Rattus norvegicus: one gene and its partners. The protein of the gene in region 3 interacts with the protein of the main gene of each other region in a pairwise test. Links are inferred from orthologs where the notes say so. Each region holds a gene or a part of one and is shown on either strand. Other genes may lie near its edges. The genes, in order: Usp2, Eif3d, Homer3, Mos, Pax6, Pkn1 and Pom121.

What was found.
Region 1: the proteins of Homer3 (region 3) and Usp2 interact in binary tests that used the Homo sapiens proteins (3 or more experiments, as listed by UniProt). The two-hybrid records come from large-scale screens. The link is inferred for Rattus norvegicus from reciprocal best matches to the Homo sapiens genes HOMER3 and USP2.
Region 2: the proteins of Homer3 (region 3) and Eif3d interact in binary tests that used the Homo sapiens proteins (3 or more experiments, as listed by UniProt). The two-hybrid records come from large-scale screens. The link is inferred for Rattus norvegicus from reciprocal best matches to the Homo sapiens genes HOMER3 and EIF3D.
Region 4: the proteins of Homer3 (region 3) and Mos interact in binary tests that used the Homo sapiens proteins (3 or more experiments, as listed by UniProt). The two-hybrid records come from large-scale screens. The link is inferred for Rattus norvegicus from reciprocal best matches to the Homo sapiens genes HOMER3 and MOS.
Region 5: the proteins of Homer3 (region 3) and Pax6 interact in binary tests that used the Homo sapiens proteins (3 or more experiments, as listed by UniProt). The link is inferred for Rattus norvegicus from reciprocal best matches to the Homo sapiens genes HOMER3 and PAX6.
Region 6: the proteins of Homer3 (region 3) and Pkn1 interact in binary tests that used the Homo sapiens proteins (3 or more experiments, as listed by UniProt). The two-hybrid records come from large-scale screens. The link is inferred for Rattus norvegicus from reciprocal best matches to the Homo sapiens genes HOMER3 and PKN1.
Region 7: the proteins of Homer3 (region 3) and Pom121 interact in binary tests that used the Homo sapiens proteins (3 or more experiments, as listed by UniProt). The two-hybrid records come from large-scale screens. The link is inferred for Rattus norvegicus from reciprocal best matches to the Homo sapiens genes HOMER3 and POM121.

Annotation. Positions count from the first base shown.
Region 1 is NC_086026.1:53,309,311-53,314,099, reverse strand, and holds the start of Usp2 (ubiquitin carboxyl-terminal hydrolase 2), read right to left. Parts: upstream 3,231-4,789; 5' UTR 3,147-3,230; exon of another isoform or gene 112-3,146; intron 1-111. UniProt on the Homo sapiens protein: Hydrolase that deubiquitinates polyubiquitinated target proteins such as MDM2, MDM4 and CCND1. Isoform 1 and isoform 4 possess both ubiquitin-specific peptidase and isopeptidase activities.
Region 2 is NC_086025.1:111,419,446-111,422,872, forward strand, and holds the end of Eif3d (eukaryotic translation initiation factor 3 subunit D), read right to left. Parts: intron 1,985-3,427; coding exon 1,842-1,984; intron 1,680-1,841; coding exon 1,396-1,679; intron 1,029-1,395; coding exon 1,015-1,028; 3' UTR 906-1,014; downstream 1-905. UniProt on the Homo sapiens protein: mRNA cap-binding component of the eukaryotic translation initiation factor 3 (eIF-3) complex, a complex required for several steps in the initiation of protein synthesis of a specialized repertoire of mRNAs.
Region 3 is NC_086034.1:19,169,028-19,172,009, forward strand, and holds part of Homer3 (homer protein homolog 3), read right to left. Parts: intron 1,698-2,982; coding exon 1,590-1,697; intron 1,036-1,589; coding exon 917-1,035; intron 209-916; coding exon 52-208; intron 1-51. UniProt on the Homo sapiens protein: Postsynaptic density scaffolding protein. Binds and cross-links cytoplasmic regions of GRM1, GRM5, ITPR1, DNM3, RYR1, RYR2, SHANK1 and SHANK3.
Region 4 is NC_086023.1:21,656,659-21,660,456, forward strand, and holds Mos (proto-oncogene serine/threonine-protein kinase mos), read right to left. Parts: upstream 2,199-3,798; 5' UTR 2,029-2,198; coding exon 1,000-2,028; 3' UTR 891-999; downstream 1-890.
Region 5 is NC_086021.1:112,596,936-112,600,972, forward strand, and holds part of Pax6 (paired box protein Pax-6), read left to right. Parts: intron 1-1,468; coding exon 1,469-1,599; intron 1,600-2,376; coding exon of another isoform or gene 2,377-2,418; intron 2,419-2,513; coding exon 2,514-2,729; intron 2,730-3,430; coding exon 3,431-3,596; intron 3,597-4,037. UniProt on the Homo sapiens protein: Transcription factor with important functions in the development of the eye, nose, central nervous system and pancreas. Required for the differentiation of pancreatic islet alpha cells.
Region 6 is NC_086037.1:41,345,100-41,349,867, reverse strand, and holds the start of Pkn1 (serine/threonine-protein kinase N1), read right to left. Parts: upstream 3,014-4,768; 5' UTR 2,840-3,013; coding exon 2,819-2,839; exon of another isoform or gene 2,379-2,818; intron 2,115-2,378; exon of another isoform or gene 1-2,114. UniProt on the Homo sapiens protein: PKC-related serine/threonine-protein kinase involved in various processes such as regulation of the intermediate filaments of the actin cytoskeleton, cell migration, tumor cell invasion and transcription regulation.
Region 7 is NC_086030.1:26,911,794-26,916,567, reverse strand, and holds the start of Pom121 (nuclear envelope pore membrane protein POM 121), read right to left. Parts: upstream 3,056-4,774; 5' UTR 3,051-3,055; coding exon 2,482-3,050; intron 1,171-2,481; coding exon 955-1,170; intron 415-954; coding exon 256-414; intron 1-255. UniProt on the Homo sapiens protein: Essential component of the nuclear pore complex (NPC). The repeat-containing domain may be involved in anchoring components of the pore complex to the pore membrane. When overexpressed in cells induces the formation of cytoplasmic annulate lamellae (AL).

The DNA of each region.
Region 1 (4,789 bases), on a different chromosome or scaffold from region 3:
GAACCTTGCACACATCTCTCCCCTCTACTAAGCAATACTTTTGTTGGACAAAAGTTCCAGCACCTCACAGGTGAGAAGACAGTTTACTACATTAGTATTTCTTGGCTTTACCTGGTCCTGCTGTCCCTGGAGGCTACTGAATGCACCATGGGCGGGAGCTTCAGTTGGGGAATCTGCCTATGGCCTTGCTGCGCAAGACGGGCAGCACTCTCATGGCTTTGAGTCTCCCTGTTGCCACAGGAACGCCTGGGACTGAATGGCTCTTTCATGGGGCAGTGGGAGGCCAGCCTATTGGCTGGGATTCCCCACACTCCTCCCTGTCCAGTGTGGGGCCCCTGCTGCCTGGCTTCTCTCATTGTTTTTCCAGAACTGGCAAGTTCAGGCATGTGGCTGCTGGCTGCACCTCCCCAGGGGCCTGCCACCTTGGACAACGGTGGCGGTGGTGGTGGTAGTTCCTACTCTTGCCTTTTTTTTTTTTTTTTTTAACAGAGATTTTGATGTCTCCCTTCTCTCTGAGAGTCTCCATCGCTTTGCAAAGTTTCCCCACAGAAACTGGCATGGTGGCATCATTTTGCACAGATGCACTTGGCTTCCTCTTGGGACAACGGAGCCATGCAGCTAAGGCTCCCAGCCAACTGGTCCCACACACCTACAGACCAGGCATAGAACTCACTGAGGACCTTGAATGCAGCTTTTGACTTTGTCTGCCAGATAGCCTCATCCTGTATGTACTTGGTCCTCCCTAGCCTTCCTGGCAGTGTCCTTAAGTGTAGAGGTCCTGAAAATCTCAAGGCAGACGAAAGCTTGAACTTTTTTAGATGCATACATTCTCAGGTTTAAGAAACATAATTGCAAAGGCTATATTGTTTGCGTTAAATGAAAACGAAAAAAAATTCGTATTTTTAAATGTACAAGAAATTTAAATAGTGCCTTGTTTTGCTTTTGTTTTTGTTTTTTTGGACGAGTCTAGGCTGACCTCAAAGTCTCTGTCTTGTCTCATATCCCAAGAGCTGGGATTGTTAAGTATGAGCCCCTAAGAGTGAAACTTAAGTAAAGTTTTATTGTCCATATTTCAGATCTTTTTTTTTTTTTTTTGGGTTCTTTTTTTCGGAGCTGGGGACCGAACCCAGGGCCTTGCGCTTCCTAGGTAAGCGCTCTACCACTGAGCTAAATCCCCAGCCCCCGATATTTCAGATCTTAACATTTAAAGATGCACCGACTAGGGCTCTAGCACACTAACTCAGTTCCCCCGGCAGCTTTAAGCGGTCATGCTATCAATGCGTCTATTTGTGGGTAAGGAAACAGTTCTTTTTTTTTTTTTTTTTTTTTTTTTCCGGAGCTGGGGACTGAACCCAGGGCCTTGTGCTTGCTAGGCAAGCGCTCTACCACTGAGCCAAATCCCCAACCCGAATCAGTTCTTTCTGCAAGTCATGTGGACCCTCTCCCGCTGTCAGGCTGCTGCAGTTGTCTCTGCTGGGTGGGAACTGAGCTCTGTTCACTGCAGCTACCCTGAAGCCATCCATCCCCTGTCCTGAAAGCAGGGCCATGGGCCTGTGAAGTCAAAGGAGGACCCCTCCAGGATGCCCACGCCTATTTATCCCGCTAGGAGAGAAGGCTGCTTGCGGGAGCAGCCCCTGGATTTTCCACTGTAAGTGAATGAAAATGAAGCCTGGTGTAACCTGAGCTGCAGCACAATACTGATCGAGGGAGAGATGGTGATCGAGGCCTCTATTTCATCCTCTCTGCCAAGCCCTGTGTGTCCCCTGGTACTGGCATCTACCCCAGCACAGGCTTCTGGGCCCCAGCTTGGTGGCAGACATATCCCTGAGCCTCCTTCCCACGGCTGCAGTTTAGCCCACTCCCCAAAGTACCCACACTAGGTGAGTCAGGGGTTGAAACGAACCCTGTTCCCTTGAGGCAACCAACCACCTGGCATCAAGTCACTGTCATCAGTCACTGTCATTTCCTGTAGCTCACGTGAAGGGCTCCCTAACCTGCCCAGCTGGAGGAGGGACTTAAGCCTCAAGAATCCCAGACACTCCTGGCCCTGGAGGCAGAGGACTGGTGATACACCACCTCTTAGCAGATTCATGCCCCTTTCTGTCCCGATGGGCTCATCTTTCTGAGGCATAGGCCTAGCCACATCTGTGGCTTTGTCACTGCCCTCACTTACGTCCTCTACCCTACAAGACACTTCATGGACACACCTAAAACACCACTAAGTCCCTTTCTTCCTACCCAGATGTTCAGGGCAGGTCAGCAGGGAGACCCAGTCAGTCTCACTAGGTGCTCGGGAACCTCCGCAGTAGTGACCTCAGAGCTTCCCAAAGCTGCCTGCTAATTGTATCAGAATGTGCTGACTGAGGACTAAGAGGGGGATAGACACCCTGTCACACCTATGACCCTTCCTCCTTGCTGCTTGGATCCCTTGCTAGACTCTCTGGCCACAAGTGTCCACCCTGACAGAGTGGAGAAAATGGCAAGAGCTGTACATTTACATTATACCATCGGCTCCTCTCAGGCCTCTTGAGCCCTGAGCCTGACCCTCTGACCTGTTGCTAGCACTGCTCTCTATCAGATGCTTGCAGCAACCCACCTACTTTTATCACAGAATCCTCTCGCTTTGGGGAGGGGAGGTCCTGTAAAGGAATTTGTGCAGGTCTCCATTTCTCTTGCACTTTGGAGGTGCCCAGAACTTGGGGAGGGGATGGGAGTTGAAGAGGTAAAGTGAAGAGATCAGAGATGAGAGAGATCAGGACAAGTATCCTGGCTTGTGGAGAGGTGGGTGGGCCTAGGGGGGGATCACACAGGGTGTTTTTCGATTTGGGGTTGGGATGGATAGATATCTCTACAAGTCCAAGAAAAGGCAAAGAAACAGGCTTCCTAGAAGCAGAAGGTATCTTGTGATTTTCTTCTTCACCCCCTTTGCTCAAGTACCCCTCCTAGTGCTCCCTGCCCTGGAGAGAGTCTCACCCCCCCACCTTTAGGGCTTCAGTTGTCCTCTGTCCCCATATCTTGAGGAGCATTTGGGTTTGGTTACAACGCTCACCAAGTCCAGCGGGCAGCCTCTCAAATGCTCTCCCGAACTCAATGAGGCTTTACTTAGCCATACTTGAAGCTCTGACACCAAAGAGAGGGCTACTGACCTGTGTCCGGGGGCACTGGATGGGATCTGGGGGCTTCTTTCCTCGCAGGGAAAAGACGGCTGTTGTAGAGTCTAGAAGCTGGAGTCTGACTGGGGCTGGGTAATCCGGAGCTCAGGTTACGCTAGCTAGATATATATAGTATCTTATCTGACCTCGCCGAGATGGCAACTCACTTGCATTCCAGGCCCCAGGAGAATTAAAGGGGCAGTGACAAGCCCACCTTCCACCCAATGCCTAGTGACTGGGTGGAAGCAGAGAATGAGCCAGAATCCTGGGAATACTTGGAAATAACAGGAAGGATCAGGGGTCAGAGCAGAGGGCTGGGGATGAGTCTGAGTCCCAGACATGGAGAAGGTGGATTCTCTAGTGCTGTCCGTCACAAGTTGAGCGAACACGAAGAGGCCAAACTGCTAACCCAGCTGCTGGTGTTTTAAGATAGGGAGGACCGGGGTTGGGGATTTAGCTCAGTGGTAGAGCGCTTGCCTAGCAAGCTCAAGGCCCTGGGTTCGGTCCCCAGCTCTGAAAAAAAAAAAAAAAAAAAAAAAAAAAAAGAAAAGGAAAAAAAAGATAGGGAGGACCTAGCTCCTCTCTGGACACGGGCAGAGAAGAGTGGCTGGGACCAGCCCTTGGTTTTCAGTCCACTACTGTTTTTACAGTGGACTTCTAGGTCTAGGCCTGAATTCTTATTCTTTCCCTTCATGGATCTAAGATAACTTCTGAGGATACTTAAGTCTCTGAATCTTAGCTATGTAGTTTGTAAAACTGAATCATAGAGCTAGTATGGTGGCGCATGCCTTTTATCCCCAGCACTTGGGAGACAGAAGCAGGCAGATCTCTGAGTTCAAGGACAGCCTGGTCTACAAAGCAGACAGCCAGGGCAACACAATGAAACTCTGTCTCAAAACCAAACCAAACCAAACCAAACCAAACCAAACCAAAGGAAACCAAAAAAACCCAACCAAACAAATGCACACAAAGGAGAAACTCAAAGGAACAAATAAACAAAAACCATGAATAATAAGGTGTGATTACATCTCACAAGGATAAGGATAAAACAATAGTTTTAAGCTTCCTCAAACAGAGCCAGGGTTCAATAACGCCAGGCTTATTGGCCATGTCCATTCATCTATTCATTACTAATGGCAGTTGTAGCAGACAACCCTTAATAGAAGATAAAGGCTTTGGGCTACCCCCCGGGATTGCGACACCAGACACCAGCCCTGTGGTTTTCTGAACTAGTCCACATCTCCCAAATGGAAAAGTCAGACAGATTTTGCCACTTTCCCAAGGCGACAGGCCACACTCCTTTCCCCTTTGTTCAGAAAAAAAAATTATATATATATATATATATATATATATATATATATATATATATATATATATATATAAATCAAGTGTGGCTTCTCTGGGCTGCCAGGAGAATGCTTGGCTCCAGAGGGGCAGTTCCAGTCTACCTGTTGGAGGGCTCAGGCTTCCGGGGTATCAAGGGCAGGCTGGCCAGGGTCATGACAGGAGGGCCTCTCTGGCCTCGGTGCACCTGTCTGCTCCCAAGATGATTTCTTCTGTTTCTTGATGGCTCTCCCTGGAGACTGGAAGGCCCCGGGGCTGGTGCCTCCACCCTGTCTCAGCACACGGTACTGACT
Region 2 (3,427 bases), on a different chromosome or scaffold from region 3:
AGTCAGGGCTGCTTCAAGTTGAGATTCTCAGAAACTACAACACCCAAGGATGAAGCCCAACATCCTTCGCTGACTTATTTAAGTTCAGTTATGTTGCTGAAACCTACCTCTTTAGGAAGGTTCCAACCCTGATGCTTACCTACACAGCTCTGCTCCCACTCATACCCCAGTCCTGAGGGGCAGGCAAGAATACTTGGGCAATTACCTGGGTGGGACAATTACTAGTGTTCAAAAAAGCACGCAGTCCACAGAGCCTTTAAACACGCTATGTGACACATTGCTTTGTGCAGACTGGTTTGAGGCTTTCCCATCCCAGGTCAACCTTGTAAGTAACTAAAATCACCACCCAGCAGACTGAAGAGGTCTTCCTCAAGGACCACCTCCCAGCCATGCCCTGCCCTTGGTGATAACTTCTAAGGCACACCTAGGTCATGCTAGGAAGACATCGTAGTTCAAACTTCCTAATACCAGCACACTTTAATAGTTTCTCATATTGTGACCCCAACCATGAAATTATTTTCATTGCTACTTTGTAACTGTGATTATTATTGCTAACAAATCACAACATGTTTTCTGATGGTCCTAGGCAACCTCTGTGAAAAGGTTATTCAACCCCCAAGGGGTCACAACCCACAGGTTGAGAACCACTGGGTAACAGGACTTTTTGTGAGGGCTCTTCCCCCATAATGCATCTCAAATTGCATGAAAGGGCCTGTCATGGGTTCTGAAACTAACACTCAAGGCCTTCACCCTCCACAGGGAATGCAGTTCTCAGTGCCCCAGCTGAGATGGAACTACTCAGCAGCAGCCAGGCCACACAAACTTCTGGCTCTGGTCTCCCTTTCCCAGGGGCTGCTGGGAGAAGGAAGGGCTGCAGATCACAATGGGAGCACAGGACAAAGGAAGAAACCAAAAGGACTTAAATTTTATTTCTTCTGCTAGAGAACAGGAGCTGGACACACGCTGCCCAGGCACAGCTAGGTGCTAACACACGCAGGCACCAGGCCAACTCACTTAAGTTTCTTCCTCTGAAAGAAAAACAACAAAGAGAAATGAGCTTCACCCCATGATGCCACACACCCTTTCCTTCTGGACCTTGAAGAAACCTGAGTGCTGAAGGCCTCCTCTTTGCTGAGCCCTCCTAACCTCTGCAACTTTCTGTAGCTACCAGGGAGGCTTTTCAGGTGGTCTATCTGACCATAAAGCCTTGGATCCTCTCGAAACTGCCCAGGCCTTCTCTTAATGTTCTCCTTGCCCTCTTTCTGATCTGACTGCCACCCCACAAAAAGTTCCAGGAAGTTCTCATGTGTTGCCAAGGTGAAGGTGACCACAGAGCTAGCCTGGCTCCCTCACCAGCCCTCAAACCACCCAGGCTTAGAGGCCCACTCTGCCCACCTTCTTCTTCTTCCTCCTCTTCCTCCTCATCCTCTTCGTCCTCCTCAGAGCTGAAGGTGCCATCAGGCAAGCTGTAGACTCGGATGACCTGCTTGTTGGGGTCCTTGAGGATGAGGTATTTGCCCTCCTCCAGCTTCATGCAGATATCAATGACACAGCGCAGGATGCCCCAGGCATTCTCCACACTCAGGTTGATTTGGCTGGCAAACTCATTGGGCTTAAACTGCTGGGTGCCCAGGATGACGTGGCGCGAGGAGTCCTTTACATGGTACCGGGACACATACCTATTTGGGAGGAGGATGGGTGGTCACACTAGGCCATACAGAGAGACGGCAAAGCCTGGGGTCAGTACCGTGGTAATGCATGGTCTGCTCTTTTCCCAAAGTAGAGGAGGGACGAGCAGCCTTTGATCCAGGCCTGCCCCAGCATTTGCACAGGAGTCTCACCCGAGCTTCAAGTACTCAGAGCCAGCCAGCAAAGCACAGCACGTCCATCGCGCCAACTTGTAGCTGTTGTTCTTCAACTCAGTGGCGATGACAGCCCCACGCTGAGAGTCCAGCTTCTGACGCCAGTCAACGCCATTACAATGCTGCAGAAGAAAGCTGGTTACTGGGTGAGGGTGGCACCTCCCACGGGACCCCAGGGTTTCCTACAGAAGACACGGGACCACTAGGAAGGGAAGAGTATGCCAGAGTCAGAGGTACAGTGGTGACCACCCATCTTTGTACAGCAGCCCCTCAACCAGATGGTGATGGGTGACCCGGCACAACTCAGTGGCAAGGGTGCTGTGTGGTAAAAAGGGGCTTCACAGTAAACACAGAGAAGGATGGTCAGAACTGAGAGGCAGGTAGGCCAGCCTGAGGTAGGGCCAAGAAGGGCACAGGTAGGTGTTGCCTCTGTACAGGATAAAGAATACTGGTAAGGACAGCTCTGAGGCTCAGGCAGCCTGTGATGACTGGGCAGGAAGAGCCCAGCACCTGATGCTTTCTTCACAGGCATACCGACTTCCAGATGTGGGGAGTGGGGCAGTCCAAGGTCGTAAGGCAGACAAAGTAATAAGGCAGGGAGTCCCCACCATTCCAAGAACAGCATCTAACCGACTCTGATTCCCTTAAAATTTGTGAGAGAACCGTGATACTGAAGAGCTCTGACACCATCTTGGGGACAATTACACACAGAACTGAATGGAATAGTGGTCAGGCAGATGAGATACCAAATGACAGGCTCAGGAAGAGAGACTCCCTTAGCAGACTCCCAAATGGAGTAAGAAAATAAGGAAAAAGCACCGGCATGAGATGGGAGCTGCCTGGGTTCCTGGACTGCAATGAGCAGGAGCTTATAATTAACACCGGGTCAGGGCGAGGACTCAAGAGCAAAGGGGGGTCTGAACGCTGGCAAGGAACAGGGACTTCAGCTAGACCACTGAAAGGACCTGACCTCTGCAAGATCCAGAATGAACTCCCAGTGGACTTTCCAATGGAACACACTCCATTCTACAGTCATGGTCACTGCCACCCACGACACCGCAACAGAGAATGAAACCATAACAGGCTGAATGCCTGCTCACTAAACTCCAGTTGTGGGTGCTGTTTTAAGCCATTAAGTTTCTTGTCATGTGTTTGTGAGGCAAGAGAACACTGAAGTATAAAGTACTCTGGGACATAAGCTGCATGGGGAATTTACCCTAAGGGTCCACCAGGGCAAACCCCACGCTTGAGTGGGGCAGGGGTGTGTGGAAACACAGATACCACAGGAGAAGTCTAGAAGGCCACTGGCCCCAAGACAATGGCTCCCTAAGCCGTATCTTGATAGCAAGCAATCATCACAGGCTGCCTGGACCTCAGCCTACCCTTTCTCTATTCCGTACAGAGGCAACACCTACCCGTGCCCTTCACTTTAATTCAGGGCACCACACACAGAGCCAGGGAGAAAGGACGTCGCCTGACCTTAAGGTCCTGCAGCACTGGAAATGGATAACGCAAAGAGGACTGTGTGTGCGTGTCTGTCCAGATCTTAGTCTTTGGAGGTCAGC
Region 3 (2,982 bases):
TCTGGGGACTGATCCAGGGCAGAAGGGGTGTGGGGGTGCAGCTGTCCTCACCCGCTGCCGCAAGTGTTCAGCCTCTGCACGCTGGACCTCCAGCTGCTGCCTCCACTGAGTGGCGGCCGCGTTGGCCTCTCGAAGGGCCCCTGCCAGCCTCTGGTTGCTGTCCTGAAGTGCAAAGAACTCAGCCTCCCACTGGACCTCCCCTACGGAGCTGTGGAGAAGACACTGGGCTGGGGGTGTGCATGGTCAGGACAAGCAGCATCTGGTGCAGGGCATCCTGGACTAAGCAGGGCCAAAGCAACACTAAGCCAAGGAGTGGGACCATGAAATTGTGACAGGTGTTGTGGCTCATGAGAGGCTGAGAGACAGGCGGAACTGCTTAAGAATGATGTCAGCCTAGACTATAATGAGTTCTGGGCTACATATTGGGACCCTACCTCCAAAAATGTTGAAAACATATCCCTGCCCTCCAGATTGGTCAGGGGCCCGGTCAAAGGAGATGGAGGTGCAAATGAGGAAAGTGCAGCCTGCTTTCCAGATGAAGCAGGAGCCTATTGCTTCCTCCTCTCCCAGGTCTGCAGGCCAGATTCTTACACCCCCAACCCCTACCCAGCTTCATCTGCAGCAGACCAGTCCACCATGGGTCTCACCTCGATGCCCACGTCCATCCCAATGCCCACGCCCCTTAATACCTGCCAGGACCCTGACTCTAGAACACCATCCTAATAGTCTGTCCTGCGGATGCCCCGCCCTAGCACACCCCTGGTACCAGCTACACTCCCTTAATGACATTTAAGACCCTGACACTAGAAACACCATGCCTTGCCAGCCAAAAGTTCAGTCTGGACACAAGACACCCCTTAGGCCCCAGCTAGGCCCAACCTGGCTTCAAGCAGGCTCGGCCAACCACACCCCTCACCCTTCTGACAGCATCTTCTTCAACCGCTCCCGCTCAGTGGGGCCAGGGGCGTCCGCGCTCTGGCTGCGGAACAGCTTCTCTTCTGGACCATTGGTGCTGACCAAGGGGCTTGGAGGAACCTGTGCATGGGAGCCAGGACGGGGTCACAGTGAGCACTTGCTTCAGCCAAGGACTCGGTAGGAAGTAAGGGTGATTGAAGCAAGGACTGAGGTCAGGGCATCTGAACTGACCATGATGACCAGTACTCCTTCCTCACCCTCCATAGCTCCTTGGAGCCTCAGGATGGGGGATCCTGTCCCTCACCTGCCTGGGCCTTCACTAACTCCTCAGGGCCAAATGGAAACAACCTACAGAAAGAGGAATCCAAACACTTGGAGCTGCTCTCCTCCAGGTAAGTTGAGGCACGAGCCAGCAGGAGGGCTCATAGGTAAAGGAGCCGGTCACCAAGCCTGATGCCCTGCTGAGAAGAAAACTGACTCCCACGAGTTGTCCTTGGAGTCCCACCCAGGCACATGCACATTTGTGTATGCACACAGACATAAATGCAGTAAGGCCACCAGCCACCCTTGGACACTAGCACAGTGCATGGACCCTGAGATCAGAAGCATATATAGCTGCCTCAGGGGTGTGGTAGTCACCGGGTACTATAGACATGGGGTGTAGGAACACCTACCTGGTGGGAGGCCATGGCCAGGGCAGTACTAGTGAGTTCTCCACCATCTTGAGATTTCTCCCGAGCCAGTCTGGCAGCTTCTTTGACCTCCTGAAACTTCTCAGCAAACTGGGGGTGAGGGAGGGGGATAGTCAGAAAGCATTTCCCACATCTCCCATCATACCTCCCATCACCCCAACCTGTACCTGCCCTGTCACCCTGGGGCCTTTGGGAAGAGTCAACCCTGTGAGCCTCTTGGGTGTCAGAATGACACACAGAGGGAGGGGGTTTGGTGAATTCCAGAGGTGACATTAAAAAGTTCTGAACCACGCCACACAGAAAGGGACTCTGTTCCTGTCAGGCTGATTGGCCAGCCTGAGGCTAGCTGCCCATCTGTCCTTCAAACATGCCAGTATGTCATAACACAGGGACAACATCCACAGCCAGTGGGAGCCCCTTCTCCTAAATTCCTCAGCTGACAACTAACGAACGCTGGTTCTGTGGTTACAGTGATGTGTCTTCTTTTCACTTTAACGTAACTTTTGTTTATTAAAGAGAACACATGAGGACCGGAGCCACGCTCTGCGGTCATGAGGGCAGGCTGATGTAGAGAAGCCACCTCAGGTCACACACCACTGCAGGCAGCTCTCACACGCCTGCCTGTGACTCCAGCTGCAGGGATCCAACGGCCCCTGCTGGTCTTGGGGGGCATCCGCACACACACACACACACAGGCACGAACACGCGTGCACATAAAAACAGTTTTTAAAAAGTAAATGAAGGTTGGGGATTTAGCTCAGTGGTAGAGCGCTTGCCTAGCAAGCACAAGGCCCTGGGTTCGGTCCCCAGCTCCGGAAAAAAAATAAAATAAAATAAAATAAAGTCAGGCATGAGTGGCGCACACCTTCAATCCCAGCAGTCAGGAGGCAGAGGCAGGAGGATCTCAGAGTTTGGTGCAATCCTGACTCAGTAAGCTTGCTGCAGGCCCAATGATAATAAGGTTGGTCCTTGGAGCCTCCATGGGAGGAGGGAACTGACACAGCACACATGCACACACACAGGCACAACACAGAAATAATTCAATATAATAAAAACTTTTAAAAGAAAACTTGTTTTTATTACTGTTGATTGTGTGGGTGTACATATGTGTAAGTGCCCCCAGAAACCAGAGTCCTTAAATTCCCCTCCAAGGACTTACAGAAGGTAATGAGTCACCAAGTGGGTGCTGGGAATTGAACTCTCGTCTGCACAAGCAGCCCTTCACCATAGAGGCATTTCCCACCCCACAGAGTTTAAGCTATACCTGCTGCTGCTGTCTACGCCCTCGAGGCACAGACAGGCAGATTAGGAATTCAAGGTTGGGGTTGGGGATTTAGCTTCCGCGGTAGAGTGCTTGCCTAGCATGTGCAAGGCC
Region 4 (3,798 bases), on a different chromosome or scaffold from region 3:
GCTATGCAGTAGTAACCTGTAGTCTTGGAACTCACCTTGTAGATCAGGTTGGCCTTGAACTCAAGAGATCAGAGCTCCAACTGCCTCTACTTCCTGTGTGCTGGTATTAAAGCTATGCTCCATTTCTGCTGCTAACAACTGCTCTTTTAAAACGCATTGGTTTTGCTGTTTTGTTGCAGTAAATTCAACTGCAGCTTGAATTTAGATGTGTGTCTGTGTGTTGTGGGGGAGATGTGGCCTGTGAGAATTAACAGGGGGCAAATGTGGCATGTCTATAGTGGTATTCTTTTTTGGAAAAATATTCTTTATCAGTAACTGTTAGTTTTCAAACCCAGGACGAAGGGCTGAGGTACCTATTTAACATATCGAAGTGGACCTGCTGCCAGGTTCTCCCTGCATCCCTCAGTCCCTGTCTACTACAGAGTGCTCCAGACTGGCACGCCCCACCCTCTGCCCTAAACTTCTCCAACCCAGGGACTGGGCTGCCCTTTCCCCAGCTGTCCTTTCTTATATAATCCATTTTAGCTCCCCCTCCCGTTTTGAATCTTCCAGCTGCTGTACCTACTTCTGTCTTCCTTCCCCCTTCTCCTCCTACTACTTCTCACATGGCTCAGGAACATGTCCGCTCTGGGCTTTCTCAGCCAGATGTCCATGTCTATGACTATGTCCTATGTCTCCCTCGTATCCGCAATAAACTTTCTCCTTCATTCCTAGGAGTAGTGCCCCCTCCTCCCACCCCCTTTCTCTTTTCATTCAGGAACAAACCTTACTACGGAAATGATACAGTAGACCCAGAAAGGTGACACACAAAGGGCTCAGGTTGTTTAACAACCGTGAGTGGTGCCCATGATATCTGTACCCTCGTTAGTCTTAGGAAAGGCACTTCAGGCTGAAGTTTGTAGTAACTTTATTTTCTAAAAATATGCCCTAAAAGCCCATCCTTACTTATTTAAAAATAAACAGAAACGAAAAGCTTATCTGCACACAGGCTCGATGGAGTCAGCCCAGTGCCCCTCGGAAAGCCTTCAGGTCCTTCTGGAGCAGTTCTGCACCCGGCCTCTGCAGGGCGCGGGCCTCCCAGCAGCTCTGGACGATGTTCTGCAGCGTCTTCCCAGTCAGGGAGGCGGTGAACACCGCCCCTGCCAGTGACGGGCGCAGATTGTAGGCTACCACTGCGTACTGCACGTACTGAGGCTCGCCGGAGTAAGGCACCTCCCTGGTGGTCATCTGCCACAGGGTGATGCCAAAAGAGTAGATGTCGGCTTTGGGCGTGGCGATCTCTCCTTTCAGGAGCTCCGGAGCTTGGTGCGTGTACGTGCCCCCGATGTGGTGAAGGGACGCCTGCCGGCACCGCAGATCCTGAAGCTTCTGGGAGCAGCCGAAGTCACTTATCTTACAAACGTCCTTCTCACTGATCAAAATGTTCGCTGGCTTCAGGTCCAAGTGCAAAATGCTTTGTGAGTGGAGAAAAAGCAGGCCGTTAACAATATCTAGGGAATACTTGAGGCACTTTCCCAAACTCAGTTGCTCTCTGCAGCTGAGAGGCTCTGGGGAGCGGGTGGCACCGTAGATGACTTGGTGTAGAGTCACATTGCCCCCAAACTCCATGATTATGGTACCAAGGCTGTTGGAACCTTCCGGCGTGCGCGTGCTGGCAGCCACAACCCGGACTATGTTGTCGTGGTGCAGCCTTGCAATGTTCAGTTCAGCCCAGAAACTCCGCTGGGATGCACGTAGGTTCCTGGTGCACTTGTTCACTTGCTTGATGGCCACAGGAACACCGTGGTAAGTGGCTTTGTACACCGAGCCAAACCCTCCAGAACCCAGCCTATGCAGCAGGCATACCTGTCCCCAGTCTATGAAGCACCAGGCCAGCCGGCGTGACAGCCGCGGGGCCCGAGGAGGAGTGGCCCCCAGGAACTTCCCCGCCTTCCTCGAGGCCACCAAGGGGCTGCTGCAGGACCTCGAGTCCACCGTTGGCGACAGCTCGCGAGGGAGGTAGCGACACAGGATGAGAGGCGAAGGCATTACACCCTCAGATGGGACAGTCACAAGAGACGCTAGAGAGAAATGACCAGGAACACCCAGGGAAGTTTGGAAGCATGGCTGAAGGTTTCCGCCTTCATCCCATTTCCCTTCTTCTTGTATTCTCAAAACCAGCCACAACTGTGCTCTCACGTCTTGCTGCTCAGCAAGGTTGGTTTTTTGTTTTTTTGTTTTGTTTTTTTTTTTATCAGGTGGGGTTGGGCGTGCAGATGAAGCCTGGCAGTCTCAGATGAAACGATTGCTCTCTCACAGCTAAAGTGAATCCTTAGCAAAACAACCTCTCACCTGTTAAACAGTACTGGCCTGCCCCAAAGCTCACCTCTCCTTCCAACTAATTCTTGAATCATAATACAATGAAAAAACATTTCAAGGACCTTCTGACGATCATTAATTGGTCCTTAGACTGAAGAGAAAAGCAAAAGTACAGTGAACTTGGTGCACACTTTTCAGGCTATAATGATTGTTCGTGCTAGTCTCCAGCTGCATTAAATCAGTCCCAGCAGCTATTGGCTGCAAGAGTTGCAGTACAAACAGCAGACACTTGTTGAACTACTTGGCAGGGTTATTAGATGCAACCTTCATAAGAATTAACATCTGTAATTTTAATGTCTTTGATCCAAATACAATCTCGGATAGAAGGCAGAACTCGTACCTCCTAAGTCCATCAGAAGGGAGCAATCTGACACTGTATTTCATTTAAACAGCAAGTTAAGACTCCTTAACAACACACTGACTTCTACCGTCCCTTCCTTTCCCAGGCAAGTTAGGTCACAGAGCAAGCTTGCTTCAAGACAGATTCTAGACTTCACAGCAAACAAGTTCCTGGAATTTAACGCAGAGTTGGAAGGAGGAAGAAAGGGACAAAGGTGATTGTGATGACCATAGCTGAAAATAACAGCAATCATGGAGAAACAGGAGAAAAGCCAGGACAGACATGCCCAGAGTCACTGGTCCCCATCAGATACTGAACATAAATTCAGGGTCTGGCCGTCAAACCACACATTCGTCGTTTTTGGTTTTATAATAATGTGTTTGCTTTTCATGCCCTATCTTCCGGGGAGTAGGGAAGAACAACAACCTTGCTCTGTTCATTCAAAAACGGTTTCTCAAAGTGGTTAGGAGTTACACTTTCTAGCCACGCAGGAACGTGTTTTTGTGCACATGGTGATAAGTGGTCAGTGTTTATGTGGCAGCTGTGTCCTTCTGACCTCAGAATCACAGATTTTGAGAAGGCAAGTTGATAACAGAGAGCCATTTATATAAAAAACTCAAAGTTCACAAAACTCCAGGTTTCTGCTTAATGGTGATGATATGGTTTAGTGTCATCTTGCACAGAGTATATAATTGTTACAGCCTCGATGCTTTATGTAATAAATTAAGAAAGTAAACATTTAGGGAGAATAAAAGTTGAGTAGTTTCAAATATATTAAGGGACAAAATGTTAAACACGTAAACAGTGGAACATTTTAATAGAACCCCCATTTTGTACATGTATATCAAACCCAACTGAAAAAGGAAAACAGTGAGCGTGACAAAATTTAAGAGCACTGAAATTACTCTGCAAATTTGCTCAGCCATCACACAGATAAAATTACAGTTCAGGACTATGACCTGTGGATTTGAGGAGCTTTAAGAGTAATATGATAGGTCACCTTGAACCTCTGGGTATCACACAAAATACACTACGATGTGATTTATTATTTTGTAATATTTAGTTTTAAGACAACCTCATAAACACTTCACTTCTAAAGT
Region 5 (4,037 bases), on a different chromosome or scaffold from region 3:
CAAAGTGACAAGGCTGCCACAAGCGCCCCGACTGATCTTTTCAATTAGCCTTCCATGCATGATCCGGAGCGACTTCCGCCTATTTCCAGAAATTAAGCTCAAACTTGACGTGCAGCTAGTTTTATTTTAAAGACAAATGTCAGAGAGGCTCATCATATTTCCCCCCTCTTCTATATTTGGAGCTTATTTATTGCTAAGAAGCACAGGCTCCTGGAGTCAATTTATCAGGAGGCTCCAAGGAGAAGAGAGGAGAAGAGAGGAGAGAAGAGAGGAGCTGAGAACCACATTTCCTGAGAGGGCTTCTGTCTAGACACGGGGCTGCAGGTTGGAGATGTCTGAGGAAGTGGAAAGAGGGGACTGGCTTTATTTTTATTCCTGTGGTTTCTGAGGAGGATAATTCATGGAGGCGCTCCTTCCCTCTCGCCCTAAGTCTCTACGACCAGACAATGGGAAGAGGTTGTGAGACAAGAGTGGAAGGAAGGACCGACCGGTGACACTGTGATGTGGTCTTTTTCTGTTTTGGGTTTCTGTTAATATTTGTATCCTTGGCTGAGGGGGAGGGTGGAGTTCAGCAGGGGAAGTAAAGCGAGTAGTGGCGGGTGGGAAGGCTCCTGGCTTCTGAGCACGACTTGGGGGCAGGCAGATCACTGTGTGAGTTGGGGTTCCAACCCTATTCCTGCTATGGAGGTATGGATTGGGAGTCACTAGCGACAAATTTATCTTTCTGGCTCTTTTACACACACACGTACACACACACACACACACACACACACACACACTCACACACACACTATGCTGTGTGCTGTGCACCTCTGCCAGAGTTAAATCACCATGCTAAGGTTTTATAACATTCTGCCTGGCCGTGCAGGGCTTGGGATTTGCAGCACTATTCTAACACTGCAGAGACTTCTGTGTGGACTCTGGTGACACTCAGAGGTGATGTAGGAAGGAGACTTTAAAAGCTTGATGTTTACCCCTTGTGGGTTCCAAGAAGGGCTGGGAGAGCTTATGAAGGTGGCAGTGGGCTCAGGGAACTACTGTGGTGATGGTGGTACTGGGTGGGTATATTCCTGGGTATTCTCCTGGGTCTGACAACAGTCCAATGGGTAGGTCAATTGTATTTGAAGCTGGGCTCCCCAGTACCCTGCATGGTTGGTGGTTCTGTTGTTGGGTGTTTTTGTTTTTGTTTTTTAAACCAGGACCTAATTGCTAAGGTTCACACAGGTTGGCAGGGAGCTGAGGTTGCATTGTGGTCTTTTCTTCCTTCCTTCCTTCCTTCCTTCCTTCCTTTTCTTCTTCTTCTTCTTCTTCTTCTTCTTCTTCTTCTTCTTCTTCTTCTTCTTCTTCTTCTTCTTCTTCTTCTTCTTCTTCTTTCTTCTCCTTCTCCTCCTCCTCCTCCTCTTCCTCTTCCTCCTCTTCCTCCTCCTTCTCCTCCTCTTCTGCTCTCCTCTCCTCCTCCTTTCCTCAGGTCACAGCGGAGTGAATCAGCTTGGTGGTGTCTTTGTCAACGGGCGGCCACTGCCGGACTCCACCCGGCAGAAGATCGTAGAGCTAGCTCACAGCGGGGCCCGGCCGTGCGACATTTCCCGAATTCTGCAGGTGATCCTCCCGTGGCTGCCCTACTTGCAGCTCCCTACCCACCCTACCCCGCCCCTCGTCCCGTGGTCCTCCACTCTAAGCGTCCTCTCTTCATTTCTTACTGTAAACACTACTAATTATGGACCAACCCACCCTCACCTAGTCCATCCCCACCAACTTCCCTACCTTCTAGCTTCCCCTCTCCTTCCGCCACGGTCCCTATCTCTTTCAACCTCAGTCAGTTATGTAAGATAATTCATCTGCGTAAGAAAAAGAATGTGAGTGAATTAAAAAACTACATCTTTTCATTTGGTAAGGACATTCATTGTGGTAACAGTGTATAAACTGTAATGAGCTGAGTTATATAAACTGGGATAATTTCATTCCCCTCTCCCCATCCCGTGCTAACCTCAGATTTTAGAGATTTGTCTGCATCCACCATGCTTGTGAAGAATGTATATGGATTTTCAGAGGCAAATGCTATCTATTCCTAATTCACATTTGCTCAGTTGGGCAAAATTTTAAGGGAAAAAAAATTCGATTATTTTCCCTTTGTTCTTTAAAATCTAATACTGCTTTAAGCAAGGTCAGCACAAAAAAATTAACCTGACTTAGTTTTGATGCATCTTCACACAGTGTTTAGAAAAATAGTTTTTTTGAAAGCTTTTTAAAAAATAATTCCAAGTGTTTGAAAGTATCATCATATTTGTAGTTTTAGGGCTACAGATGTAATTTTTAAGGAAAAAAGCTCTCTATAGTAAGTTCTCGTACCATTGAAGGTATATTTTTGTGTTATAGACCCATGCAGATGCAAAAGTCCAGGTGCTGGACAGTGAAAACGTAAGCTTGTCATTGTTTAATGCATACTTAAACAATTTTATTTTTGTCTTGAAATTATTAATAATGTGGTTTTTTTGTCCAATTCCCCAATGCAGGTGTCCAACGGATGTGTGAGTAAAATTCTGGGCAGGTATTACGAGACTGGCTCCATCAGACCCAGGGCAATCGGAGGCAGTAAGCCAAGAGTGGCGACTCCAGAAGTTGTAAGCAAAATAGCCCAGTATAAACGGGAGTGCCCGTCCATCTTTGCTTGGGAAATCCGAGACAGATTACTCTCCGAGGGGGTCTGTACCAACGACAATATACCCAGTGTAAGTTCATTGTGAACACTGTCTCCCACGCACCAAGCTCCTCACTCTCTCCCCATCTCTGGCACTTCTTTATCTCCTCCGGCTTTTCTCTCCCAATGCCTTATCATCTCTCTTCCTCTCTTCCCTGATTTGCATGGGTCTCCAGGGTACCTGGGGATATGGAGAGGTGGGCTTTACCTTTTTGACCATCTGGAAAATGGGAGTCAAGGGTGGGGAGTAGTTCACTTCATTTGTGTACCACAAACCAGGGGTCAAAGGAATTAGGGAAAGGCACTTGAATCAAGGAGGAAAATGAAAATGAAAATGGAAACCAGATTCTAAATTCCCCTCAAAGCACCTTCCTGAAGCTTCTTTCAGGCAACATGCATCCATTTCTGCTCTATGATAAAGTAAATCTCTAAATTAAGTTGAAATCTTTTATCATGGAGTCTTTCATCAAAACCAAGCAGCCCGGTGAGCTGTCGTTAGTGATGTTCTACAGAGGTGAAAGGCTGCTCCTTCCTTTTTATCCAATTTCATTTCCAGGAATAATATGATAGCTGTCATTCTTTCCACAATATAGCTAAAAATCCACGGACTGTCCCAGGATGGCTGGGAGCTTTTGCATATGTCATTCTTTAAAGCTTGGGAGAGCTGAGATGGGGACCTAAGATTGGGTGACTATGTCCTTAGGAGACACCACCATTTGGTTTGATTTGCAGGTGTCATCAATAAACAGAGTTCTTCGCAACCTGGCTAGCGAAAAGCAACAGATGGGCGCAGACGGCATGTATGATAAACTAAGGATGCTGAACGGACAGACCGGAAGCTGGGGCACCCGCCCTGGTTGGTATCCCGGGACGTCAGTACCAGGGCAACCCACGCAAGGTAAAACTCAAGCAGCTACCTTCCCGAAGTGGTTTCCTCCTCTGGGCTCCTACTGCTTAGGAGATGAAAGGGGTTACTATCCTTGAAGGCTTAGGTACCCCAAGTCACACTTTGTAATTGTTGTTTGTGACACCATCTTGTTGATGGGACTGTAAGGATTATGTGTGTTAAGGGTTGTATGAAGTAGTTAGGAGGTTGTGCGCATGTAAGGTTGAACCTAGTGGTGCCTTATTCAAATTTGACACTAAGATACAGTAGAGTACACTCGCAGTACAAGTGGGACAACTTAACACACACACACACACACACACACACACAGAGAGAGAGAGAGAGAGAGAGAGAGAGAGAGAGAGAGACTGTAAAGTAAACATAATTGTATTATTTGCTTTTGAAGTAATTGACAGTTATGTGACTTTGAGTAAGGTGGTAGGAGAGAGCAGA
Region 6 (4,768 bases), on a different chromosome or scaffold from region 3:
GGTTAGAGATCTCTTAGCATTCCAGAGCAGCCAGAGCTACACAGCGAGTCCCTGTCTCAATTAAAAAAAAATTAGAGGGCTGGAGAGATGGCTCAGCGGTTAAGAGCACTGACTGCTCTTTCAGAGGTCCTGAGTTCAATTCCCAGCAACCACATGGTGGCTCACAACCATCTGTATTGGGATCCAAAGCTCTCCTCTGGTGTGTCTGAAGATAGCTACAGTGTACTTATATACAAGAAATTAAAAAAAAAATTAGTAGACTGAACATGGTCAAGCTATCTGTGACAGAGGAGAGAATAGCAGGGTATAGAATAGAGAAAAAAAATTAGAGAAGGGGGCATGACACAGGTCCACAGGCAGCAAGAGAGAAGTCCAAGATTGACACTAGCCGGGAAGAAGCCCACGTCCACCACACCTCGCAGCAGTGAGCCACCATCACAGTAAGTGATGTTCTCCTAGGCTCGTAAGCCCTTCTGGAGGGAAGATGAGGGTGCAGGCCAAGAACACAGATCCTGTGACCCTGTCATCTCCTCACTGTGTACCTGAGCAGTAGTCACCACAGGGAAAAACTGAGGCTCAAAGAGGCCATAGCTGTGCTCTCAGTGAAGCTGGGGTTGCCTTCTCCTCCCCTCTAGAAACACATGTCAATGTCTGAGGTCATTCTTGTTGTCATTACAACCAAAGTATAGAGGGGGCACCTGTCAAATGTCACCATCCTGAGGGGCACAGGATAGCCCCCCACCACCAAATGATCCAGGCACAAAGGCCATTGCTGGGGCCTTGGAGAGGGACATGGGCTCCCAGCTTAGACTGCCAAGCTCCATGTTCAAAGTAAAGATGTCACAGAAGCACAGGACTGGCTGCAGCCCCACCTCTCTCCCCATAACCATCATCTCCACCCTCACCCCCACCCTAAGGGTTTCTCTGAGTTGCCCTGGATGTCCTGGAACTCTATAGACCAGGCTGACCTCAAACTCAGAGACCTGCCTGCCTCTGCCTCCCACACGAAGGTGTGTGCCACCACCACCGCCAGACCCTCGTCACTATTCTTAACCCATTGCCTCCTCCGAAACAGATACAAGACTCAGTAAGGCGAAGGCAGTTGACCCAAGAACTCATCAGGGAAGGCAGCATTGGTATTTAAACCCGGCCTCACTGAGCAACACTCTGACATAACCAGGCCCCACCCACTGTCACCCACCAGTGCCCCAAACCCAGCAGGCAAAGCAGGTACACAGCCAAGAGCAGGGCCAGCTCAAGCATTCGAGCAGAGGAAAGGTGAAGGCCCCACCTCCAGCAGAGAAGGCCTGAGAATATGAAAAGCATGCAGGGAGGGAGGCAGGGCCTCCTTGTCCTCCTCCCCTGGGTGAGTCACTTCTGCCCAGGGACAAGGAGTCACTTGAGGGCAGCAGGGCAAACGCCTGACCTGGTCTTGAGGAATTAAGAGTGTCAGCTTCTCCACCTGCCATTACAGATCTGGAGACACCAGACCAAGAACTGTCACCATGGGGGAAACCCTCTTGGCAAAGTGGCTAGGAACCCAAAACCCCATTTCCTGAGATTTCAATGCCTGGGGCGTTTCCAGAATCTAGACAGGACATCCGTTTGCCAGACACAGAACACACAGACATGGAGCTGGTGGAACAGGGCAGCAAGTCCAAGCGGGAATGAACATATGGGAGAAGACCAGAACAGGAACAAGATGTAGGTCCTGCCTCATTCTGGGAATCGCAGCCTCCATATGTGTCCTATGTGGGACACACCAAGCACATGCATGTACTGGGAGAGCCCTACACAGCCCTCAGTGGGTCTGAAGGGGAGCTGGCACCGGTGCATCAGCCTGGAGGTCTGACCTTGTGAGATCGGCAGCACCAGATACGCCCAGCTCCTCGGCAAGGCCGGCAGGCCATCAGCAGGACTGGGGAAGAGGGGTACAGGAGGGTACAGGGGAGACATGGGGGCAGGTGTAGAAGGAGATGAGAACTGGTTACACAGGACAATGGACTGCATGGTGAAGAACTAATGGAGCCACGAAGATACAAAGACCTCAGATTTGGGCCACTGAATTAGAGGGTGAGAAGTCAGTCACCCCGACCTTGCTTCCTCTTGGGAAGGTGAGTTCAGTAACACCCAACAGGTCACACAGGGAAGGCTATGTGGCTGGCAGATGCCAGTCACAGGTGTCTGTTGCGGGGGGGGGGGGGGGAGTAGCCCTGTCACCTTCCAGACATAAAATCCTTCCTGTCTGTGTGACAGGACACGCCCCACCTGGGTTACAGCTCCATCTGTCAGCCTGAAGGGTGGTTACGGGGAACAGGGCGGAAGGAGGAACCCTGCCTCAGGCCTAATGAAGTGACTTAAGATACTTCCTCCAACAGGTGCCCATCTGGGTGGCGTCAAGACCATCGTAAAGACGTCTGCAGGCGGAGGTGGCCCGGGCTTTGTTGTGCGGGGGAGGGGATCGGGCCGGGCACTCCTCCGGTCCGCGGCAGGGTGCCAGGCACCTGCTCCAGGTGAAGCGGCACCTGCCAGAAACCGAACGCTGAGGACCCAGAGTAGGGCGTGGGGACGAGAGGCACCGGGACCCGCAGCTGGCCTCGGACACCGAAGTGGGGACCCCGCTGCACCCGCTGACTCTCGGGGAGGGCCGGAAGAGGGGATGCAGTGGTAGAATCCCGAACAGCACCCCTTCCTCCAACCAGGTCGGCGCCTCCACCTGCTACAAGGGCCTGCGCGGGCTCCGGATGGGGACCTCGTCTCGGATTCTACCCGTGCCTGGGGTCCTCCGCGCCGTCCGGCCGCTCCGCGGGTAGCCTACCTGCACGGCGTCGCCGGCCATGTCCGCCAGGGGTCCCAGCGCCGAGGGAGGGCTTGCGAGCGCGTCGGCGTGTGGGGCGGGAAGCGCGGAGCCCAGACCTTCCCTGGCGCGCTGCGCGATCCGGCCTGCTGCGCTCGGCCCGGCCTGGCCAGGCCTCCGCCGAGCTGCGCCCTCGGGCCCCAGCGGCTGCAGGATGGGTCACGTGAGCGCCGAGGTCCGCGCCTGGGGAGGAGGCGGGGCGGGGGCGGGGGCGGGGCTCCCGGCGGCCCCCGGGGCTTGCAGCGGGGAGTGGGATCTCTGTTCGCTGTGCTGCGTGGCAAGCGCTCCTCATAGCGTAGGGGGACTCTGAACAGGCCTGAGCGGCCGCGAGTCTCACGAACCTTGTCCCCCACCTCGGACCCCTCTGAAAGCAAAAGTCACGATCCACCTCCCTACACACACCGCCTAGCTGCATAGAGGCATCCATCCTCCCATTTACCCGTAGGCAAGCACAGGGAGAGCCTGACTTCAACTCAAATGCCTGTGTCCTGGGCCTTGGGGGACCACCGTACCTCTTAGGACAAGGATGGCTGTAAAACTTAATGAGGAAGAGTAGGGCAAGTGTACAGACCCCCAAGTGAGCAATAAACGCTAGTGGCTGTCACTTTTAGCTTATTGTTTTAAAGACTCTATTTTGATTCATGTGTGTTAGAAATAAGTTCCGGGATGGCAAAGGAAGAAGCCACCCTTCAAAATGAAATGTCCGAACAAGGCAAACTTTACTCTTCATCAAAACAGTGTGCTGCGGAAAAGCTAAGAGAAGACAGGAAGTGCATTTGGTTTCTATTCTAACTCAGGTGACCTCGCACTCTTATTCAATTGGCTAGTCTGAAAAAAATTTGGCGCAGAGGAAATTGAGGAGGAAAGGGGTCACTGCTCTAAGCAATCAATTTTCTAGAATGGAGTAGGGTGGCCTTTGTGATGCGGGGAGAATTAAAACATCTCCTTAAAAGTCCTACAAGGTAGGGGAGAGAACGATTTTTTTTTTTTTTTTTGTTCTTTTTTTTGGAGCTGGGGACCGAACCCAGGGCCTTGCGCTTCCTAGGTAAGCGCTCTACCACTGAGCTAAATCCCCAGCCCCCGAGAACGATTTTTTTAACAACTGTCCAAAACACAAGTTGTATACTATTTGCTAGGAAAGACTCATATTTGATTTCTCACATGTGTATATATGTGTTTCTTTGTGGGAGTTATGAAACATGTGTGGGGATCCTCTGGACGTCAGAAAAGGACATGGGATCCCCTAAAATGAAGTTATAAAGCCAGACTTGGTTTTCTACAAGAGCAGTATACTCTAAATACCCAGCCATCTCTTCCATTCCTGTTTTAATCTTTACACTATTTATTGTGTGTGTTCACGTGCATATACACGCACATCCAAGGCAAATGTGTGGTGGTCAGTGAGTAACTTACAAGACCACTTTTCTTCTGCACTCTATCATTAGGGGGTGGGGTGGTTCACCTTCCCTAAGCCCTGAACAGGGCCAGCACACCATCCCTGAACTATCAGGATTACAGTAGAAGCCTCTTCCTTGTCCCTCAGCCTCCTCCTCCTCCTTACATTCTCTTCCCCAAACCACAGACCAACAGGGCCTAAGTCTAGACATTTCCAGGAGGAGCCCCTCTGTCATCTGCTGCCCCTGCTCTCTCCACATCTGTGTTCATTCACGGCTTCAACAAGTTGACATCCGCATTCTACCTCAAAGGTTTGTGGAGGGAATAAAATAACTTGCCACACCAGACATCCAACTTCCTTTTTGCCGATTGATAAAAGAGAGACGCCCCTTGCTTTCATAATCAAGCCATGATGTTCATAGTCCCTTGCATAATAGGCAAGGAACCCACCCATCTTACAGATGAGGAGGGCACGGACTTGGCAGGGAGAAAGCCTTGCCTGGGGCCCTGCCTGCC
Region 7 (4,774 bases), on a different chromosome or scaffold from region 3:
CTCAGAACTCTGGGAGGGAAGGGTGTGTTGAGTGGGTGGGTGGTGAGTGAGGGCCAATGCCAATGCAGGCTTAAGGGTATAAGGACGACACTTACCTAACCCGTGCCCTAAGAGGTGAGCACTACTAAAGCCCTTGTTACCAAGCTTCTCCATGGTTCATACTGGAGATGGGCCCCTTATATCTTCATGGTAGTCACCAACACTTACTCTGATTCCCCTGGGAAGGAGTTACACTCTACTGAGACCGCCTATTACCTTCTCTTGTTTTCCTGGCCATCAAGATGCAGCTGGTCTTCCTCTGCCACTGTCCTTTTCTTCTTTTCCTTGAGGGCATTCAGCACCGTCTCCTTTGCACAAGGGTCTGGGGCATTACTTGATGGTGAAGACAGTGTGGTGCTGAGTATCTGCTCCGGCCTATAATGAGAGAGAAGATTCTGGAGACAGGCTATTTTAACTACCATGCATGTACAGAACAGAATCCAGAAGCTAACCAACAAGCAAGGCCTTGACTACCATGACTACTAAGTCAGGAATGGTGGCTTGTGCCTTTAATCCCAACAGTAAGAGGCAGGAGGATCATCCTGAGTTTTGGGACAGCTTGAGCTACTCAATTTCAGGCCAGCCTGGTCTGTGAATATGCGCATACGTGTGCTTGTGAGTACGTGCACATTGGAGAGTGACAGAGTTGCACAATCACAAGGACTGAAGATCAGATCCAGGACCCATACAACCATCCAGGGATCCTGCATACCCCATAAACGCAGCTCCAAAGGAAAAAGGACAACTGGGGCTGGAACAGCTAGACTGAAACAGGAGCCTCAGGTTCAGAGAAACTCTGGCTTCAAAGGAAAAATCTGAGGGCAATGAAAGAGTCCTAAGGCCTTCTTCTGGTCTCCACACAGGTACAGGTGCTTACGTGCACACACAAGTTTGTACACACACACAGGTACTCACATTGGTGATCGAAATAGCTTGCTATCTGGAGGGGCAATCCTCACTGTCACTGGGCTGCACACCATCCTCGAGTTCCGTGCAGATAGCACGGCTTTCTTATGGCCACCATTCCAGCATACGGTTGGAAGTGCCCCCAGCAAGGAATACTGGGCTTGCTGAATGGGATATCGTCTTCGGGGTGTTATAACAAACCGACTGGATAAAGGCCCACAATCTCTGTGGAGAACAGGACAGAGACACGTGCTGGAGCCACAGTCTTAATACCAAACTCAACTGACTGCAGAAACAAGAGGCAATAACACTTCTTTTCCAGAGAGTATCAACCTCTCTCTTTCCATTTTTATCTTATTTTTTGACAGTGGTGGTAATGACACCCAGGGGTGTGTGCATGCTAGACAAAGCGCTCGGTGACACTAACAGCTTAAACTTTCCTTTTTCTCAAGCAACAGGGAACGTAGCATTTTTATGGCAAATTTCTCCCATTTCATCCGAAAGCAGGAAGTATCAGTTGCTTAATGGTTGTCTCTACTGTGGACTTCACCAAATTAAGAGGGAAACTGAAAAATACTCAAGTTAATAAAAAAAACAAAAACAAAAAACAAGAACATCAACGATTAACATAAAAAAAAAAAAAAAAAAAAAAAAGAGGGAAACTGAAAACCTTGCCCACACAGGTACTTTGGAAGAAAAGCACATGCAGTTGGTGTGTGTAGGAATAGTTTTTTTTCCTCCCCCTAACTTGTGTTTGAAATATACAATACACAGCAAAAACCAAACATTAACGGGTATTCATCAACTCAACTAGGCACACTTATCAAGGACAGTGAAATGACTTAAGCTGGCTGCCAAGTCTAATGACCTGAGACCAATCTCAAACTCACATGGAAGGAGAAAAATGACTCCAGCAAGCTGTCCTCTGATCTCTACATGCATATGCAATTTAAAAATAAAAATGCTTTTATCCAGAATCTAGGCTGAGTGTAGTGGAGCACACCTGTAATCCCAGCACTTAGTAGGTGGAGGCAGTAGGGTCAGCAGTCCAAAGTCACCCTCACCTACAGAGTGAGTTCAAGGGACAGATCAAGCTATATGAGATCCTGTCTCAAAAACAAAACAAAACAACAACAACAAAAAAACCCCAAAGACTAGGGAATGGGTTGAGTGCTTGCCTGCCAGCTATGATTCGATCCCAGCACAGCATACAACCTGGTGCAAACCTGTAATCCTGTCCGTGAACTCACCCAGAAGATGGAGGCAGGAGGATGAGTTCAAGGCCAGACTCAGCCAAAGAAAGGGTTTGTGACCAGTCAGCCTATGCCACCAAACACCCTACCTTAAAAAAGAAAAAGGAGGAAAAAAAAAAAAAGAGTAAAGAGAAAGGAGAGTAATGGAAAAAGAGAGAAAGGGAGTAAGGATAAAAAGAAAGGGAAAAGGCAAAGTAAAGAAAAAGGGAAGGTAAGTTAAATCAGATTCTAGGTTTAATCCTCTGCCGCAGAGACCCACCCTGGGAAGACAGCCAGGGCTTACCGGTGGGGCGGCCTCCGAGAAGGTCGCAAAAGTGGGGTGGGGAGCGCGGGGTAGACGTGGTGGACTCGCTGGGCCGTCGAAGACGACGGCGGGGACCGTGAGGGTGGGCGGCGCCCTGGCCTGTCTCTAGGGTCCTGCGGGAGGGCAGGCTCCGGCGGGCCTGGCTTGCCCAGGTAGCTGCCCATGAGTAAGAGTTCAGCGGGGTCGGGGCCTCCAAGCGGGCTGCGGGGTTCGCAGAGGCTACCGTTGACTGGCGACTTGGCTGGAAGCGGTGAAGCGGTGAGCGCGGGCCGCGGGTGACGGCGCGACTCGCGCACGAACGACGACAGGCCCCTCGGGCCGCGGGGTTCTCGGCTCAGGCCCCACCAGGCCGCGCTCGCCCCCACGGCCAGCCAGGCCAGCGCGGCCGCCGCGGGCACTAGGTAGAGCGCGAGGCCGAGCAGCGCTAGGCCCAGTGCCGCGGCACCCGCTGGTCCTCCGCAGCCGCGGGTCCGGCCCCGGCCTTCCCGTACGCCCAACGGAGGCCGCCGCCGCTCGCCTCCGTCAGCCGCCGCAGCCGCCGGAGACATCGCGGCTCCGCGCCGCGGAGCGGACTTAAATATCCCAGGATACACCGCGCCGCGCGCCGCCGCCTACGTCACTGTCCTCGACGCGGCGCGCCGGGTGAAAAGGGGAACTGCCGCAGCGTGCGGAGCGAGGCGCGAGAGCGTATTTTGAAAAATACAGTTTGGATAGGCGTATTGGTGCAGGCTTTTACTCTCAGAACGCAGGGGGCAGAGGCAGGAGGATTTCTGTGAGTTTGAGCCCAGCCTGGTTCACAAAGAGAATTACAGAGCGGCATAGAGACATAAATCCTGTCTCAAAACAGCAAAAACTAAAAAATAAGAAAGAAAAAAAAATATAGCCCGTCTGACAGCCGGTTTGGACGCTTGAGGTTTCCCTGACGCTCCCGGACTGCGGAAGAGTGGTGGTAGAAATCAAGGCACAGAGCCAAGATTGGTGGCACATTAATGTAATCCCGGCATTTGGAAGGTGAAGGCAGGAGGATCCCCAGTTCTAAGTCAACATGGGCTACTTAGTGAGACTCCTCTCTGCCTCAAAACAAAACCCGATCAATCAAACCCTACGTGGAAGCTCACTGTTAATCCCAGAGGTCAGTTCCAGGCCAGCTGGAACTACACAGTGAGACCCTGTCAAAATAATTTTTTAAAATATTTATGTATGTGAGCACACTGTAGCTGTCTACAGACACAAGAAGAGGACATCAGATTCCATTACAGGTGGTTGTGAGCCACCATGTGGTTGCTGGGAATCGAACTCAGGACCTCTGGAAGAGCAGTCAGCGCTCTTAACCGCTGAGCCATCTCTCCAGCCCCAATAAATAATTTTTTCCCCCCAGAGCTGAGGACCGAACCCAGGGCCTTGTGCTTGCTAGGCAAGCACTCTACCACTGAGCTAAATCCCCAACCCCAATAAATAATTTTTTAAATGTGTGTTTTGCCTGAATATATGCTGGGATTACATTTGCACGCCACCACATCTGACTTACTCTTTTGTGTATGTACGTGTGTATGCATGCATGGAGGTTGAAAATCAACAGCAGTGTCTTTCTCAATTACACTCGACCTTATTTTTTTTGACACAGGGTCTCTCACTGAACCCAGATATCATTAACTGGCTAGGCTGGCTGGTCAGAAAACAAAAACAAAAAAATCTTTGTGTCTACCTCTGTGTTTGGGATTACAGGGACTCCCTGCTGTGCCCAGGTAAGCTTGCTCAGCAAGTGCTGTACCAATCTTCCTAGTCTGTGTTTTTTTCTTTCCCTTTTCTTCCTTTTTTTTTTTTTTTTTTTTAAGATTATACATTGAAAGCTGTTCCTCCACAATCAAGAGCAAGATAAGACTAGACAGGGGGAGGGAAGGCTAAGATGGAGGGATGGCTAGATAGAGAAGCAGGAGAGGCAGGGGTTAGAGTTCAGAGACAATGCACATTGTTAATAAATACTAGCTGAACTGATTAATGACAACGAGCACTGGTTATAATCAAGAAACAGGGTGGTCCTGCTCAGGACCGATTTTCTTAGTTTCTGAGGTCTAATCCAGTAGGGCTTTGTTGTGTAGCTGCCACTAGAGGGCAGTCCCAGGCTTGTCCATAAAAGGCACATGCCCACAACCTTGCCTGTCAGCTCTGGTCTTATGCTGTGGTTCTCTTTTATGATCTTTTGGTGTTTTGCCTCTGTGAAGGTGCCAGACCCCTGCAAGTGGAGTTATAGATAGATGTAAGTGATCATGTG